4 linked regions of the Rattus norvegicus genome follow. The protein of the gene in region 3 purifies or fractionates together with the protein of the main gene of each other region. This does not show direct contact. Links are inferred from orthologs where the notes say so. Each region holds a gene or a part of one and is shown on either strand. Other genes may lie near its edges.

Region 1 (4,771 bases), on a different chromosome or scaffold from region 3:
CCGGAAGTATAAACTAAGATAACAAAAACCCTTGTTTTCCCTAATTTCCCTCACTATGCTTTTGCTCATGGTGTTTATGAACAGACAGCACACCAGGACAGACATTTGGCCCACACTTGTCCTCGATGACATCTATGCCCTATGACATCACGTAGTTATCCTCAGATGGGTCTCTGCGAGCCTCTCTCCCTCTCAACCGCAAGCTTTAGATTCATATATCTGTATCAGTCGTTCTCAACCCTCCTAATGCTGTGACCCTTTTATATAGCTCCTCATGTTGTGGTGACCCCCAACCACAAAATTGTCTTTGCTGCTACTTAATAACTGTAACTTTGCTGTTATGAATCATAATGTAAATATCTGTGTTTTCCCATGATTCTAGTCAACCCCTGAAAAGGGATTATTTGTGAATCAGGGGAGAATTACTGAACTACATGATATATTCACATCTTATATGTAACAGAGTAAAATAAGATTTTTTAAACACCTATTCAAGCCTATATCTCCCTCAGCCTTCCCATCTCAAAGATATGGGCACCACCCACTCACTCAGGAACTCCAACCTCTAGGAGTCAACAGTGTGTGTTCATGCATACATGCATGCAGCATGTGTACTTGTATGTATTCCTGTGTGTACAAGTACACACGTATATGTGTGCCTGTAAATATAAAATCCAGGAGCCAGCCCAACCTCACATGTTGTTTCTCAAATATCCACTTATTTTTGAAACTGTCTCTTCCTGGGAAGTGGGGCTTGCAGCTTAGGCAGGATGACCCGCAGCAGGCCCCAGATTCTCCTGTCTCCACCTCCCCAGTGACAGCTAGGATTACAAGTGCACGTTACCACACCTGGGTTTTTAGGAGATCTAACGTGAGTCCTCGTGCTTGCATGACAAGCGCTTTATGGACTGTGCATCTCCCCAGTCCCCTAGGAGTCATCTTTGTTCTTTCTCTCGGGCAGCATCCAAAGCACAGCCTGAATCCGACTACCTTTCTCCATCTCTGTGCTTCACCCTCCACTAACAGTCTGCTCTGGACCACAGCCACAGCCTCCTGCTGTCCACCAAACCCCATTCTCCCTAACGGAAGAATACCCAAAGCATACCAAGTCACTTTAAACCGTCTGCATCCTCCCTGGTCTCCGAACAGAGTTCAGGAGCTCTTTACCCTGGTCCAATTTCAGCATTTACCTCCCTTCCTGTGACTCCCGTTAATGCCATTCTCTCCCTAGATCACCATCTTCAAGCCACTCATTGAACTGGAAGGGGTTTGTACCTTAAACATTTTTTTCTGAAATGTCTTGCCCCTACTGGCACCACAGCAGGGGTCCTTCTTGTCATTCAAATTCCAAATGTCACCTGCTCAGAAAAAAGTCCTCAGGACCTACCAATCCAACCAGCCATCCAATCACTCCAAGTCACATCCCCTCGTGTTAATTTTCCGCACAGCAGCCACCGTTACCTGCTATTATTATTTGCTCACTCTTTGTTCCCTTTCCTCCCGCGGATTACATATCGACGAAGAAGAACAGTGAGCACCTCCCTTCCACACACCTCATCCATCAGCAGTCACTATTCAAGAGTCCCAAGTGATAAAGGAGGCTCGGGACTTTCTCCACACCTTCTGATCCAGATCTAAACATTGTCTCCAAGTTGGTGAAGAAATTAATTCTGAATCACGGTCCCCCACAGTACACCGAGTGCCAGTCAAACCATCGGCCGCCAGACCTTTGGCTAGTTCATTCATTCCATAAACAAACATTTACAGAGCTCCTACTCTATGCCAGGCACTGACTGGGTCAAACGATCAAAGGCAAGTTCTGACTCCCAGGACCCACAGAGGGGAGGAACGCTGCAACACAGGCACCTTCCCGGAGTGGGAAAAGGGAAGATTGTACACGTGTCCCCTTACAGCTTCGAGATCAGATCCACGCAGCCCAACAGACCCAGAATAACTGTTGGGACAGCGCCCAGAGATTCAGGCGGCTAAGCTCCCGTTCTACTAGCCCAGGCAGAGCCGACCGTCCGCGTTCCACTGCGTTCGGCGCCCGCCGAAGACTCGCGGGTAGAGTTCCAAGAATATCATTGGCTGACCGGGAGCCCCACCCCCATCCCATCCCTGAGAAGCAAGGATGCAGCGGCCCGGGTCGCGCTCCAACTCTCCACCGCCAGCCCAGCCAGCGCGGCTACACTAGCGTCGGGGCCCCCTCCCCCCTCCCCCACGCCCAAGCCCTCAGGCCACACTCCTGACCCACCGGAGCCTTTCTCCCTGACACCGGCCACTGTGCCCAGCGCATGTCCCCGGGGTAGGCGTGTCCCGGGAGCCGTGGAGTTTGCTGGCTCGGCCGCCGGCGGGCGGGACCTGGTCAGGCCCCCTGCGGCGCTGCGAACCCCGGTACGCAGCGGTCCCCCGAGCCCGCCACCTTCAGACATACAAACCCCAAGCGCCGAGCCCGCCAAGGTTGCGGGAAAGCAAGCGAGGTGCGGCGGTGGTGCGGGCTCACTTACTCTATGAAGAAACTGGCGCCCTCCTCCGTGAAGCCCTCCTCCCAGCCGCGCGGCAAGTCTGCGGGAAGGCGAGAAAAGTTGGTCAAACTTGCACAGCCGTGGCGCCCTCCCGCACCCTCTACCGACCGGGCGCTTACCTGAGCGGATCATGTGACCGGAGTTGACCGGTTCTCCCGTACGCGGGTGCAGCCAGGTCGTGCAGCGGAGCTGGTCACTACGGGAGAGGTGCACCTGTTAGCGCCGCCGCCCCACACGCCCGCCCGCGGACCCAGCCCCAGCACACGACCCCGCCCGGGTGCCGCCGCCTCTCACGCACTTGATGAAGAAGACGCGGCCGTCCCGACAGACGCCGTAGGACCAGTGCTCAGGTAGGGTGTCCCGCCCGACCGCAGCCGCCATGTTCGCCCAGCGCCTGAGCCCCGGACCGGGGGAGGGGGGGATGGGTAAAGGGGCGGGGTAAGGGGCGGGGCGAGGAGATAGGGGTGCAAGATGTTGGACAGAGTGAGTGGGAGGGACAAGAAACGGGGAGCTGGAGTAACAAGGAGTTGGAACAAGGAGTTGGCTAGGGATAGGGAGGAGAGGACTAGATCTGAGGAGGAATAGGGAGAAGGGTACATTGGAAGAAATGAGGGGGAGAGGCAAGGAAGGAGTGGGAAGGGGCTGAGACGCGAGGGACTTGGACCGATCCTTCTGGGTTCCCCTGTGCTGGGTGCAGCGTGGGCTCCCAGCCTTGGTGACTCGTGGTTCGAGGTCACGGCCGGTGCCTCCAAAGTTCACTGGAGGAGGGCTGGCCGGAGCGGGGCACAGGGCCCCGCAGCCTTTGTCCCCGAGACTCGCAGGCCGTGAACAGACTACACCCCCCCCCCCAGCCCCCGACACACACCCTTTCTCCAGGAAAACCGGCCGACCTGCACACCACAGCTTCTCCTCCCCCCCACCCCGGAAGTCTGCTTCTGTCTTAGACTAGGAACACCAAACAGGTTTCTGCTGGATTCCAGAGCAGTCTCCAAGACTTCTGTAAAAGAAAAGCTAGCTTGTGATTCCAGCCCTGGGGAGACTGAAGCCGGAGGATTGCTGCGAGCTGGAAGACAGACAGAACTACTTAAGAGAATTACAGGACAGCGCAGGTTACTACGAGACCCTGTCTCAAAAAACAAAACGTAGGGGCTGGAGAGATGGCTCAGCAGTTAAGAGCACTGAGTGCTCTTCCAGAGCCCTGAGTTCAATTCCCAGCAACCACATGGTGACTCACAACCATTTGTAATAGGGTCTGATGCCCTCTCCTGGTGTGTCTGAAGAGAGCAATAGTATACTCACATATATTAAATAAACCTTTAAATTTTTTTTAAAAATGCCCCCCACACCTGAAGCTGCAGCGATCACAAACCTTCAGTTCTGACAACTGACAAAAAAAGAGGCGCTGGGTCTGGATTTCCCTGCTCTCATTTAAAGGAAGAGCTGTCAACCCGAATTCTTGGGGAGCTCTCCTGAGTTCCCAGAGTAAAGGAGACCCTTAACTCACTCGTTTGCTCCTAATTAACATTTATGTGTCTACTCTCTTTTGTCAGTTGGACAAGAGAAGGAGCCTTGATCTGCCCCCAAAATACCAGGACCTGGGCACCCGAACAATTCTACCTCATCCTTTCAGCAACATCTCAATGGAAGAATGGGAAACACTCCTCACTCTGCAAGTGGGTGGAGCCGGAGCCGGAGCCGGAAGCTAGGTGCTGGGCAAGGGTCAGGCCAGCCTTGCAGAGACACAGCTGCAGGTCTGAGGAGGCTCACTTGAGGGTGCAGCTGTCTGCACTGGGCACTAGAATTAGAGATCAGGAGTAGGATGGACCCTGAAGGGGGCGCAGTGGAGCTCTGTCAGTGTTTCTTGACCTGTGGGTCTCCACCCCTCGGAGTAGCATCTCAGATTACGTTTCATAACAATAGCAGTGAAATAATTTTGTCGTTGAGGGTCACCACAACATGACCGCTGCTCCAGAGGAACCTATTAGGGGTGCAGGTGAACCTGTGGGAGGGGTGTGGAGTGCTAGGAAGACCATGAAGCGATCCTTCCTCTGAAGCAGTCATTAGGGAGAGAGGTGCTGTGACTGGGAATGTGGAGCCTTCAGCCTCTGATCCAGTTCTTGACCAAATGAACACAGGGAGATAGCTTCTCTCTTTTTGTTGACATTTAAAAAAAATTGACATTGTTTTATTTTCCCTGTCAGGCATGGGCTGTGTGTGTGGTGTGGTGGGCTCAGTACAGGGATGGA
Region 2 (4,812 bases), on a different chromosome or scaffold from region 3:
TATCATCCTATGAGCTTTACGGTGTTATTCAATGTTCACACAAACCTTTTTGTTCCATTTCACAGATAAGGAAACTAAGGCCCAGAAAGCTCAGGTAACTTCCCAAGGTAGCTCCCAATGGCAGCATCAAGATTTAAATGCAGATTTGTCTGAACTTGTCCCACACTCCTCTAGTTAATCTCATTTATCATTATTTATTCAGTGATTTTTTTCCAATTTTGAGACAGCCATACTGCGAAGCTCATGCTTTCCAGAAATCCCCATCCTCTGACTTCAGCCTCCAAGCTGGGGCTAGAGATACCTGCCACCATACCCGGCATCAATGTGGACTCACATGCTACAACTTGAGGATGACTCCCTCTCCTACAAAAGTACTAAGAAGCCCCAACAGATTTTGTCTTTTGGGACAGTGTCTCACTGTACAGCCCTGGCTGTCCTGGAGCTTACTGGTTAGGCCAGCTTCCAATTCGCAGACATCAGTCTGCTCCAGCTACCTGAGTGTTGGGTTCAAAGGCTTGTGACACCACATGAGACTACAAAATAGGTATTTTAAAGCAAGCCACTGATCAGCTCACCTGCAGACAGCGCCAGAAGGAAGGACCGAAGACTACCTTTCTTCCCAATGGCAAGACTTCACCCTGATGCTTTCTTCAATCTGTTTTTCTATTCCTCACCCACTTTCAGTTCTGACTCAGTTTTTACCTCTTCCACTGCTCTCATCCTATTGTCTCTAAACTTAGACTATATCCAGCATCATTTATCACATTCCCACAAGTCTAAATAAATCTCTAGGGGTCTGTTGTCTGTCCTCTACCCGATACAGTTCAACCTCAGCTAACCAATGTGTTCCTTCAAAGGCTTCAATGAGCCAGGGCGGTGATGGTCTATTCTTTTAATCCCAGCACTTGAGTTAGGTACATCTCTGAGTTTGAGGCCAGCCTGGTGTATAGAGTGCGTTATATGACAAACAGAGAAACCCTGACTCCACAAAACAAAACAGAACAAGGGAAGGGGAGTGAATGGCTTCAACGAGGTATGATCAGCTTCACCAGTGGCCATACTTCTTCCTACTCTGTCCACGCCTACTCTGATTTTTCCGGTAGGGTCCATCCTTTTCTCCAGGATTTTTAATGGCCGTTCCCTTTGTGTTGGGTTCCTTAGACCAAGGGACATTTCCATGCCTTACTCCTGCACTCTCCCCTCCTAGTCTTTGCTTAAAGGTCACGGCCCAATTAAGGGTTTCAGCTGATACCCAGTTTGCAATCTATCTTCAGATTCCAGGACTTCCATTCTTCCCCAGCTTGACACCCTTTTGTTTTTAGCCCCTGTGGCCTAACACATTACATAAGGTACCATATCCACTGTCCTGAGAGTATCTCTTCACTAGAAAGGAAGCTCTAAGATGTGTTCACTGCTGTTCTTCTTAGCACCATACTGTAGAGGACAGTGTGCTCTCAGCAACTCTTGCTGAGTCACTCTTTTAAATGACTAGGGGGCAGGGCGAAACTCTGACAGTGCCTCAGGTCAATCCACTCTATTTACCCTAAGGCCCCAGGAGTCCTTGAGACGTGATCTACTTGGGAGGAACTTACTTAAAAATGGTTGGGAAATCAGGGAATGGGAATCACTAGCAAGAGAATAATTTCAGGTAAATTCTGTTTTCATCAATCCGCTCTGCCTTCTGGAGACAGAATTGAGAAGAAAGCTGAAAGTATAAACCCATTACAATAATTCAGGAAGAGATGATGAAAGCTTGAGGCAGTTGCCATACAAGAGTGAAAGACACAGTGACAAGTTGGATATAAAGGGCAGTGGACAGTGGGAGTGACAGTGGTACAGTAATGGAAGCACGACATCCCCAAGGGCCTGTTTGCAAGTGGAGCAGTCTAAGTCTCCTCTACTTAGATTAACATTTATATTACTAATGTGCCCACAAATAACCTAGTGATTAAGACACAAAGCTTGCTCAGATATAAAGAATATTAGAGACAAAAGGGGACCCTCTAAGATCCCTGCTTCTGTTCCCATTTATCAATGTGCTGAGCTGGACTTTGAGCAGGGAGATTCCCTTCCAAGGGAAAGGGCAGGAATGCTGCCTCGTGGGCTAAAAGTTTCAAGTCAATCCTTGACCACAAGATAAAGACCAAGCAAGATTCCTGGAGACTTGATGAATGGGATCCATTTCACTGTGACACTTCCAAACTAGGAAATTTTAGGTACTGATCCCCAAGGTTCCCCAAGTTAATAGCTAAAACAAAAATAGTTTAATCCACTTCTTACATAATTTGAATCTTAGTGTCATGCCTTACCTGGAAAGTTCTCTCGATTGAGCTTAGGCCGACGAATGATCACAAAGTCTTTGTCACTCCCTTTGCTCTTTAGCCTTTTCCTTGGAGGGCTCTGGGGGTGGCCGAGGTTTGAGAGCAGTCCATGTGGGATGTTCTCACTGTCCACCTCCTCCTTCTCCAAGGCAGAGACACCCATGCCTGACAGCAGTTCAGAAGTCTTGCTGGAATCCCATCCCCACGTGAAGCTGGTGGTGACGTTGCTACTCTGGTCCGGAATCTCCTGAAGGTGCTTCCTGCAGAAGGGCACACATTCCCTATTCCTTTTGAAAGCACACCTCTAAATAATTCCAAGGTAGGAATGCAAGAACCGTCAAGTATGCAGTGTCGAAAAGTCACAGCAAGTCACAGAACTGCATTTTTTTTTTAACGTGCCTACAGCGGCGAGAGAAATCCAGGAATGAAAGAGAAAATCGGAAACACATACACTTGGAAAGGCTTTGGGATTTATGGTCACGCAGAAGGCCTCAATAATTTCTTCCCGTGGAGGGAAAAAGAGGGACGGCATTCATACCGTGATTCAAAGAAGTGGAAGGAAAACCTAATTAGGAAGCCAAATTAAACCGCATATTGATATTCGTGCTAAAGCATCCATCCATCCACCCATCCATTTTCTTCCAAAAAGGAACTAAGCAACCATTCACATAAGATTATTTGAGCAAGAAGCGACATTCGCGGCCTAAAAGAATTCAAACGATTCATTCATGCTTTGCCCGGTTTTTTGCAATCGGTTTACCTATGCATGGCGTCCACTGATTAAGGAGTTTTGAATGCTTCAATTAATTGAAGAGCTGCCTGCCTTCCAGACTCCCGTTCTAGGGCGCTGCTTACAATGATCCCCGGGGCCCCAGCAGCTGGACCCGCGAACTAGCAACGTTCCATCACCAACGCGCGCGCGGAGTTCTGCATCCCGCTCTCCAGCAGCCGCCTTCTGGCGCCTCGTTGCCTGCTGGGAATTGTAGTTCCGGGCCTGGCTCGTAGTCCGTCTCTATCTCTCCTTATTTCCTCCACTCTTATTTTGGACGAACCCTCCAAATACCCACAACTCCCCGCGGCTAAGGGCGGGAGTGAAGAAGGAGGACAGGCAGGCGGAAGTGGGTGGAGCTCCGACTGACTGGGAAATGTCAGTCGATTGACTGGGAGCGGGTTTTCCTTTTCCCGGAGCCCACAGGCCTTCGGGTGACCACCGCCACGGTCGCCCGAGACTGAAGGATCCCTGACCCCGGCAGACTACGGCGGACGCGAAGCTTCCGAGTTCCTTCCAGACGCTGTCTGGCGAGGTCTGACGGTGAGCGTGAGGGGGGCGGGGACGCGTGAGGTGCGTCAGGGTCTGGGGTCCCGGCCCAGTCTGGCGGAGATAGACTTGGGGGTTCCAGATTCCGAGTGGCCGCCTCCGCCAGGCCCATCTCCCCGGTCTCGGCCGCCCGCCAGGTGAGAGATTGCGGGTGGCACGCCTGCCAGCCGGCCATTCGCCTTCCTCCACCTGGCAGTGGGCGGCCCTTAGGACTGGGTCTGTGGACGCGATCCCTGCCTCACGTATAAAGTAGGCTTGAGGACGACGCACACCCCACGGGCTTGGACTGAAGATCAAGTCAGACAGTGCGAGTGAAAGCCTTTTTAAGCTAAAGCGCAGTTCCAAGAGAAGCGGTGGTTTATTTTTAAGGCAGCAGGAGCCAGCAGTGGTTCCCGTGTGTATCCTCTTGGATCCTTGACGGGTCTCTCCAATGCAATAGGAAAAAGAGAGGCGCTGCTTGCAAGGAGAGACCACCCTGAAAGCTGTGTAGGTGCCTCTGACTCAACCCACAGCCTCTCTATGAATCTCTCCCTGCTGAAAACTATGCTAATTTAGCCTCTGAAGGGGTCGGGGGCTATTAGATTAGAATGACCATGCAAAATTCAAGTGTGCAAACTGCAATGTTGATGATGATGATGATGATGATGATGATGATGTGATGATGATGATAATGTGACTTCGGAGCAACAGGGGAGAGGGTAGGGGAATGCATTTCAAGTCCAAAATGAAGAGGATTTATAGAGTTGAGAACAAAGCAGGCTACCTTCATCAAAAACATTAGAATATTGGTTTAGTATGTTAGATTGCATACCCTTGTGTTTCTTTGTGGGGAGGGCAGGATTTGTTTTATAATGGAATTAAGCCCTTCACGCTCAGTTACGCCTTTGTTTCTACCATAATCTTTGCATTAGTTACTTCTTGACAGGAAGAAATTCATAAACCCTTAGTTCCTGAAATTGAGATTGGTGTTTTTTTGTTTGTTTGTTTGTTTGTTTTTTTAAAGACCTGTTCTCAAATTAGTTTTAATTGAAAAGAAGCAAGACTATGAGACTTGAGTATTCACAGTTTTGTTATGGAAAGTATCTTAAAATGAGACCTTATGAAATAGTTTATAAAGTTATCTTTTGTTATTTTGAAAAACTCATTTGCCTTCTCTTGAACTTTGTCCTTTCT
Region 3 (4,117 bases):
TTAAGATCATTCTACAGGTCCTTTGTTCAATCCCTAGGATCCACATGGTGGCTCATAACCAACCACTTATAATGAGATCTGATAACCTCTACTGGTGTGCAAGCATACATGCAGGCAGAACACCAATTTAAAAAAAATATTTATTTACTTATGTGTACTGGTGTTTTGTCTGCATATATGTCTGTGTGAGAGTGTTGAATCCTTAGGAACTGGAGTTACAGGCAGTTCTGAGCTGCTGGGTGTGCTACAGATTGAACCAGGTCCTTTGAAAGGGTAGCCAGTGTTCTTACCTGCTAAGCCATTTCTCTATTCCCCACCCCCTCTCTTTTACACACACACACACACACACACACACACACACACACACACGAATATTTTGGCTCCAGGTATGTATATATACCATATATATACCTGAGCTAATACCTAAGGAAGTCACTGAGTCCCCTTGGACCTGAGTTACAGATGGTTATGAGCTACCGTGTCAGTATGGGGAACCAAACTCAGGTCCTTTACAAGAACAACCAGTGCTCTTAACAACTAAGCCATCAGGGTTGGGGATTTAGCTCAGTGGTAGAGCGCTTGCCTAGCAAGCGCAAGGCCCTGGGTTCAGTCCCCAGCTCCAAAAAAAAAAAAAGAAGAAGAAGAAAACAAACAAACAAAAAAAAAAAAAAAAAAACCAAAAAACAAAAAAATAACTAAGCCATCTTCTGAGCCAAGTCAACATCTTACAATTTTTGTTATGTATGTGTATATGTCAGAAGTCACTTAGGAAAGGCTAAGGCATACAAGTGAGGTTTCTGGAGATGGCCACCATTTTGTATAGGTGCGATGGGTGAGCTCTGAGAATGCAGGGTCCTCAGAGACTTCATCCCAGGATTGCTTCTTGCTACTGTATTTCCTTTCACTATCGCACAGCCAATTCCTGGGCATCAGCCCACCCTATTGGGCACATCTCCTACAGAATCAATATGAAGATGTGCTTTCATATAGTAATGCCTATAGAATTGATGATTTCATAATTCTTGATAATGATTTTATAAAATTCCTAAATTGATACAAGTAATCTCAAGTCCCCTACAGAAGAAAAAGCTGCAAACAGAGCTCTGTAAACCGTCACGTGTTACAGGCTAACTGCACTAAGAAAAGAAAGCAGCAGGCGGGGGCTGGGGATTTAGCTCAGTGGTAGAGCGCTTACCTAGGAAGCGCAAGGCCCTGGGTTCGGTCCCCAGCTCCGAAAAAAAGAACCAAAAAAAAAAAAAAAAAAAAGAAAGCAGCAGGCTTGGAACAAATTTACGACCAAGTAAAACATTCCTTCTAGGTTAGGAACAAGGCCACTATCTGGTAACTAAAGGTCATAAACTGGGAATGGACAATTTATTGTAGGTGCAAATACAACAAATAAAATATTGACTAGTTTATCTATACAAAACTTCAAAACTAATAAGACGCAAGGTAGGTGATTTATCTCTTAACAAAATTGTGTTAACTTGTGATAAAAAAAATTATTTACTTATATTGGATTTATGGGTCTAGAAGATAGATAACAGATGTTTCATCAGATACTAGTCTTAATGGGAAGAAATGTAAACATTTCTGCTGTAACTCCTTAAATCTTATAACTATTGCCTTAAATTTACTATGAACTTACAGAACGTAAGAGTGTTTAGAAATCATGTAATCGTTGGGGATTTAGCTCAGTGGTAGAGTGCTTGCCTAGCAAGCACAAGGCCCTGGGTTTGGTCCCCAGCTCCGGGGGGGGGGGGCGGGGGGGGCAAATTACATTATAGAAATCATGTAATCGATTATCCTACTGCAACAGTTCTAACTGATAGTTGTATGAGGGGATTTTCAGAGAATGTGAATAGTGAGAACAGAAACAAAGATTTGTTGGAGCTTCTTCTCTCTGCTTCATCCAGAGTGAGTGTTTTTCTGTGTTAGAGACTTTTCCTTTCTCTCTGGCTTACAGAGTTAACAGAACTCTCAGCCTCAGTCAAAGAGGAGTCAGCCCAAGCAACTAACTACTTTTCTTAATCCTCTACATCTACCAGCAGGAGTTAATTGCCAGAAATCAGCAGCTTTTAGCCATAGAATAGCAAGAGAGTTAAACTGCCAGATGCCATTAGCTTCTGGCTCCTAGAACAGTAAGGAAGAGCTATAAGACTATCATCAGTCTTTAGCCTTTGTCCCTCCCACCTCAGTACCTATCCCCAGCTTGGCAGTATATATCTGTGTGTCTGTCTCTCTGTCTCTCTCTCTCTCTGTGTCTGTCTGTCTCTCTGTGTCTGTCTCTGCGTGTGTGTGTGTGTGTGTCTGTCTCTGTGTGTGTGTCTGTCTCTGTGTGTGTGTCTGTCTCTGTGTGTGTGTCTCTGAGTGTGTGTGTGTGCGCGCGCGTGTTCACACACACTTTTGTGGAGTTATCAATGGAGGTTGTCATAAGGTATCAGAGCAGCCGGAGCAGGAGTTTCAGGTGGTTGTGATCCACCTACATGAATGCTGGGAAGTGAACTCTTCAAGAGCAACAAATGTTCTTACCCGTTGAGCCATTCCTCCAGCCTACTTTGACAGCTTTTATCTAAGCTCATGCATGATATGATGAATCCCTACGACAACAGCAATGAACCGCCCCGACTTGTTAAGATAATTTAAGCTACTTGTATGTCCAGGACATCCAAACTGGGGAATAAAACACCAGCTGCTTTAAAATTTGACAATTGTTATCCAGTGGTCAACAATATCTAAGAAATACTCACAAGGTACTTGTCAATGGCTTCTCTGTCCAGAGGCTGCGTCACTTTCAGCCAGCCTGTCTCCCTCTCAATGATGAAAACGCCAACAGGGGGTTTGTCAGCTCCTGGGCCGGTGATGCTGTAGAAAACCGTTGTCTCTTTGTCCCTGTTGGATTTGATCTGAACAGAAAACAGAAGCGAATGGGAATTGGAAAGGCAAGATCTCCACATGGGGTCTTTACATTTTCTCTTCTCTCAGGAGTGCCTTCCACCAGCTTCCTCCCGTACCTGAACCAGTCGCTGGGGGAATTCGCCCTTTTGATTTTCCGGGCAGTTGATGGGAGGGATGACCCAGTCTCGTTTCTGTCTTCTCAGACCCTGGTGAAAGCTGGGAAACGTGAGCAGCTCTGGGTTGGATTCAGAGACAGGGTCCTAGGTGGAAAGATTAACAAAATGAGGTAATGCAGAGGACATACAAGTCTAACAGTTCATCTATCCCATGGACGTCTTCCATCTTGAATTTAGTGACTCCTTCTCAGTGACAAATTACATGTACCATCCAGGATGAACAGCTAAAACATAAGCCAAAGAAATGCAAATGCTGTTGTCTGGACACTGACTACCCACAATATTCCCTATGCCTAAAAGCATTGTTCCTAACTTAGTGGCTAATGAGAGGTCTTCTCTCCTGTGTGCTGCTACTCTGATGTGCTACAAAATAAAAGTGCAATTTGGGCTTGAACCACCAGAAAGAAAAACTCAAGTTTTGTTTGTTTGTTTGTTTGTTTGTTTGTTTGTTTGTTTGTTTGAGATAGGGTTTCTCTGTGTAGCCCTTTGCAGTCCTGGAACTTGTTCTGCAGACCTGGCTGGCCTTGAACTAAAGAGAAATCCACCTGCCTCTGCCTTCCAAGTGCTGGAATTAAAGGCATGTGCCATCCATCACCACCAGGCTGTTCTCATTAAATTCTTAATATGTAGCATTCAAATAATCACCGTGCATACAAAATTTGCGGGTTTGAACATTTGATGATTGTATTTGAAAGTCATTTCAAACTTATATAGTACATGTCCTTTAAGCCCCAGCCTGCCCTGATGATGTCAGAAGTAATTCAGTAGCTAGCTAGCTATTTGGGAGTTCTGAGTTTCCTTTCTTCTGCTTTCCTAGGGGTGCAATTCACCAAAGTGGAGTTATCAATCAACAAGTTTGGTAATGCTCTTAAGAACTATTTTGAGATCGATACAAACGCGCTAATCATATTGTGCTGTACCTGTAAGGGTTGCATTTGTTCTAACAGAAGCTGCTGGGAATGGAACCAAAAATTACCTGGAGACTTGCACAGAACCGTTCCCATGTGCAATAAAGATAACTTCGTGCACACTCAGGGAAATAG
Region 4 (4,527 bases), on a different chromosome or scaffold from region 3:
ATTTTAAAGTAGCCTCATTGTGTTATTTGGCCAGAAAAATGTGACTGGTAATACAAGCAAAGGTGGAAACGCCGAAGGGCCTTAGGCATGGAGAGCAGAGGCAGCGGGTGCGCCCTGGCCAGAGGGAACATCTCAGAATATCAGACTTAAAAGCAGAGTGCCAATAACAAGCCAGTATCAGGCACTGAAAGCCAGGCACCTTGGGTAAGATCAGAAGATCAGAAGAGCGGAGGGAGGGGCAGGCAGGCAGGCAGGCAGATGAGGGAAGGCACAGAGGAGAAGGTGTGTAAGGAAGTGGGTTCCATGGACCTTGCCTACGCAGGTCTGATAAGGTAGGGCCAGTGTGACTGGGGAAGGCAGTCAACTTGACAAGGGGCAAGATAAGCACTGACTGCAATGGCAGAACAAGTTAGTAAGGTGACAAGGTCCACGGCCATCTCTTTAGGGATCTCTAAGAGGGAATCTGTAGGAGGAAGGGATAGGAGACAAGGCTAGGGAATGGAGTCAGCCATTTTCATGTCATGGTTGATGCTGCTGGCATAGAAGGGCCCCCACGGCTTTGACTTGAACCCTGAAGAATGGCTGTGACACTCCTCAGGCTGGGGTACTGAACAGGACTTACCCTGCCTGGGAGGCAAGAACCTGAGAGGTCCTCCCTAGAGATCCAGTCACTGTCTCTCCCTCCTCCCTAGGCATCCTGGGCAGAGGGGCAATTAGCCCAAGTCTGACTCTTCTTGAAGGCAAAGAATGACTTCTGCTTCTTAGACTTGGTTCATAATAGACTTTATTGGGAAAATTAGTGTAAAAAACAGATTCATAAAATTTAAATAAGACAGTAAAATCTTATCTTGTAGCTATGGTAATTGCTATAGTAATCACAAGTAAGGTGGAGTCTAAATTATTGCCTAAGCGAACACTGCTGTCAAGGCTCCTTAGCCAGCCCAAAGCAGGAAACACTGCGATTATTACGAGAGCCCGACGATGAATTTGCATTTCCAGCTGGAATAACAGGGGAAGCATGTTCTGATTACAGCATCACAACGTTCTAGCCCGAGAAAAGCAACTCTATTAGTGTCCTACAGCAGAGCACATTAGTAACTTAGCCGTGAATCATAATTCCCATTCTGCTTCATAAAGAAACCAATCAATTTCCAGGGTAATCCATTGTTTTATTCCTCAGGTTTCTGGACCTTCTTTCTCACACAGTTTAAGGTGCCCCATGGTTTACCCTGGGTCACCCTTGGCCATTTGATTCCATACTGCCCCACAGTAGGGCTAAAGGCAACCTCTCCCTTGGGTGCTCACCCCGGCCTGTTCAGAAATGGACCAAGAAGTTAATGTGGCACTCTCTGATTACAGAATTTTTATTTCAATTAAGCTTATAAAAATATAGCTAGAAATATATTTTGAATTCTAAAAGCTTTTTTTCTAACCAGCTTTAACACAAACATGTCCTTGCAAAATTCACCACCTGGCTGAGTTTGAAATCTGCTCCCTCCCTGTGGAATACAACAGAGCTCTCTACTTAGCAAACACATCTGAGTGGAGAAGTATGTGACCGACTTTTCGGGACCCCCATGGGCTACGGAGCTCAGATGCTGTCCATGGCCTTGAACTCGCTGAGGGCCTGCACAGGGTTCACGTGCTTCTTCTGGGAGGCCCGCTTGATCTTGGTCTGTGTCTCATCCTGCTTCTCTCTCTTCACCAAGGGCTTCTTCTCGGGGGCTTTCATTTTCCATGACACAGCAGGAAGGTTGAGGGACGCCATCCCCTGTGACTTCTGGTATTTGGTGGAAGCCACGTAGGACGCCTTCACTGTCTGCACTACAGCGTTCATCAAGTTCTTGGCTGCCTGGATCAGGGACATGGCGCTGTCCACCTACAAAGGACAGATGAGTCACCGGTGAAGAGCCTGACTAGAACCCTGCATGCATGTGGCCTGGCCACACCAACCAGGGCCTCGTCACCTTAAGGGGCTCCTACTGCTCTATCAAGGGCAGCTCTTACCCATGTAGCTTGCAAATACTTGCCTTTGAAAAGAAAAGGTGACAACACACAAAGTCGCCTCATCCCCCATCCCTTACAGTGCCGAGTGTGCAAGGCTGTGTAGCACGGGCACCGTGAACAGTGGCAGGGACTGTGACCTGATGGATTGCTCCAACTTAGCTCTTTGTGGGTAGAAACGGAGAAAGCAGTGGGCGCGGTTCTATTTGGTAATTTCTTAGTTGGGTTAATTACTCTTTTGGGGTGGTGGTGGTATAAAAACACCCTTTTCCAAAGAACAGCTGGCAAAAGAGACGAGGCCTGGCAATAGTTCCAGCTGTCACCGGGCCACACCAACCATGCCATGCTAAAGAGATGGTGTGAGGCCGGTGGGCTCCAGGACCCAAGAGGAACTAAGAAGGACCTTGTAGCTAATGCTGCTTCTCCTTCCCCGTCTGGAGTAGGTGGGCGATGCACAGGGACAAATGTCTACTTCTGCTACAGACACGGGCCAGCAAACCCCTCCTGGCCAGTGTGTCTCATCGCTGACACTTACCCCAGAGACGACAAGCTCTCCACCGAGGTTCTGTACTTCAGCCTTGACCTTGCTGCAGATGTTGAGCTGGTGGCAGTAGAGCGCGATGCGCTGAAGGTAGGCCAGCAGGTCCTGCTTGCAGGCGGAGTCTGGGCACTGACGGAAAAGGAAAAGACGCTCAGCACTGAGTACTCCCAGCCCCACCCAGACAACTCCTGTCCCCGGGGTTATTTCTCAAAGGCTCCCCGTGGGTGTTAGCTTCCTCCCTCCCTAAAGGAGCAAGGGGCAGAGAAGGGGGAGTGTCCATTCTCTAGGGTGCCATACCCCAGGACAGTCCCTCCCAGAGCCCACCTCCTGCATGGGGTAGGCAGTGAACACTTTCTGAGCCTTCCACTCAGTAACTCAGGGTCTGCCAGCAACTACTGTGCTAATGCCTAGGTTTCCACCCCAGGGGAGAAGCTCCTGGCCCCTATAACGTGAGGTAAGCATCAGCAAGCAAGGGCCTGGTCTTACAGAGGAGACAATGCTGAGCTATGTAGATTAAAGAAGTGATTCATCAGCCGAGGCGCTCGCTGTCCTCTCAGCCAGGGCGCACACAAGATAAACCCTGAACACAGAGCTCTAGGCACAGGTGATTAACAAAAAGGTGACAAGTGCGGCCTCTGCCCAGACTGCTGGGGGCTGGGTGCTTAGGTTTCTTCAGAGAAGGAAGCACAGCCACTCACTCACTCTCCAGTGCTCACAACAGACACTGTTCTTCCAATGGTGGAGGGGAGGGAGAAGCGCAGTGGTGTAAAATGGGGTCTAGATACTCCATGCTGAAGGCTTTGAATTTTTCTAAGATGCCACTGAAGCAGGACAGATTCAAGTGTGATTTGCATTTTATGATGACAGTGTTGATGGCTGTTTGCAGAACAGAGGAAAGAAAGGCCACAGAGGTCTGAGCAGTAAGAGATCAATGGAGCTGCTAATTTCAGACAGAAAGAACAGGTGTTGTCACAACACACTGTCCACAAGGCTTTTTATTGGGTGGTCAAGAATGACTGCCAAGTGTTAGCTTGAGTAATGAGGGACAGATGTCACCCATCCTGCAGCCTGAATGACACAGTAAGCTTGGATAACAAGCCTAGAAAAAGGCCACAGGGAAGTGCTGTGAGGCTTCCTGGAGGTATGAAGTAGCAGTGAGGAGAAAGAGAAGCCTGTCCCCAGCTAGACGCTGTAACAGCGCTCACAGCAAGAGGCTGGGTGAGGGTGAGGAGAAGGGAGGCAGCAGAATCTGCTTCTGCTCCAAACTGAAAACCAGCCAACACGGCAGAGACTGGAGTGATAGAAAGTTTTAGATAGACACACCCAACCCTGGAAACTCATCAAAGAAATAGGAGTTGAGAAATCCTCAGGAACGTATGCTGGGACTGATGGAGTGGCTTAGAGCAATTTTCCAAGGTGAGCCGTGGCCCATGAGAACGCTCATCAACAGCTTCCTCAGCCATGGGCCGTGCAGAGCGGCACTCACGTGGTCTGCGATGGTCCGGCCAAGCTTATCCATCCTGGATCCTGCCTCAGCAATTTTCTTGGCAGCACTGATCACATCCGATGTGTTTTTGAGTGGCCCTTTGCCTCTGAAAAGAGAACAGGGTGCCTGTCTATGAATCCCATCTTGGTTGGAGGTTAAGTGGAGAAAAGATGTCTATGCCCCAGGGAAGTCCTCAGCCTCTCTCTCTGTGGGCTGCAGGGCTGCGCTCACCGGGTGAAGTCGGTCATCTCCATCATGATCATGCACATCTGCTTGGCCAGCACAATGATGTCATTGCCGCTGTCGTCCCACTTGGACACCTCAGCGTCCAGCTTGCTCTTCTCCTCCTGGAAGCTGGCCACCTGCTCTGCGATCTTTGCCTTCTGCTCCTGAGGAAGCTGAGCCATGATCGCCTACAACCACAAGCAAACCACTCAGGAAGTTCTCACAGTGCATTAGCCAAGACGGCTAACAGCAATCTACAACATAGGTAGGA

What was found.
Region 1: the proteins of Cdh1 (region 3) and Plekha7 purify together in Homo sapiens (co-immunoprecipitation; 3 studies listed by BioGRID and IntAct, with this or other methods). This does not show direct contact. The link is inferred for Rattus norvegicus from reciprocal best matches to the Homo sapiens genes CDH1 and PLEKHA7.
Region 2: the proteins of Cdh1 (region 3) and Skp2 purify together in Homo sapiens (affinity purification with western blotting; 3 studies listed by BioGRID and IntAct, with this or other methods). This does not show direct contact. The link is inferred for Rattus norvegicus from reciprocal best matches to the Homo sapiens genes CDH1 and SKP2.
Region 4: the proteins of Cdh1 (region 3) and Ctnna1 purify together in Homo sapiens (affinity purification with western blotting; 10 studies listed by BioGRID and IntAct, with this or other methods). This does not show direct contact. The link is inferred for Rattus norvegicus from reciprocal best matches to the Homo sapiens genes CDH1 and CTNNA1.

Annotation. Positions count from the first base shown.
Region 1 is NC_086019.1:179,979,177-179,983,947, forward strand, and holds the start of Plekha7 (pleckstrin homology domain-containing family A member 7), read right to left. Parts: upstream 2,980-4,771; 5' UTR 2,907-2,979; coding exon 2,824-2,906; exon of another isoform or gene 2,722-2,823; coding exon 2,645-2,721; exon of another isoform or gene 2,566-2,644; coding exon 2,508-2,565; exon of another isoform or gene 176-2,507; intron 1-175. UniProt on the Homo sapiens protein: Required for zonula adherens biogenesis and maintenance. Acts via its interaction with CAMSAP3, which anchors microtubules at their minus-ends to zonula adherens, leading to the recruitment of KIFC3 kinesin to the junctional site.
Region 2 is NC_086020.1:59,913,296-59,918,107, forward strand, and holds the start of Skp2 (S-phase kinase-associated protein 2), read right to left. Parts: upstream 3,177-4,812; 5' UTR 3,090-3,176; coding exon 3,082-3,089; intron 2,582-3,081; coding exon 2,310-2,581; intron 1-2,309. UniProt on the Homo sapiens protein: Substrate recognition component of a SCF (SKP1-CUL1-F-box protein) E3 ubiquitin-protein ligase complex which mediates the ubiquitination and subsequent proteasomal degradation of target proteins involved in cell cycle progression, signal transduction and transcription.
Region 3 is NC_086037.1:51,453,712-51,457,828, reverse strand, and holds part of Cdh1 (cadherin-1 precursor), read right to left. Parts: intron 3,159-4,117; coding exon 3,015-3,158; intron 2,907-3,014; coding exon 2,751-2,906; intron 1-2,750.
Region 4 is NC_086036.1:27,131,250-27,135,776, reverse strand, and holds the end of Ctnna1 (catenin alpha-1), read right to left. Parts: intron 4,445-4,527; coding exon 4,263-4,444; intron 4,138-4,262; coding exon 4,032-4,137; intron 2,675-4,031; coding exon 2,540-2,674; intron 1,880-2,539; coding exon 1,592-1,879; 3' UTR 768-1,591; downstream 1-767. UniProt on the Homo sapiens protein: Associates with the cytoplasmic domain of a variety of cadherins. The association of catenins to cadherins produces a complex which is linked to the actin filament network, and which seems to be of primary importance for cadherins cell-adhesion properties.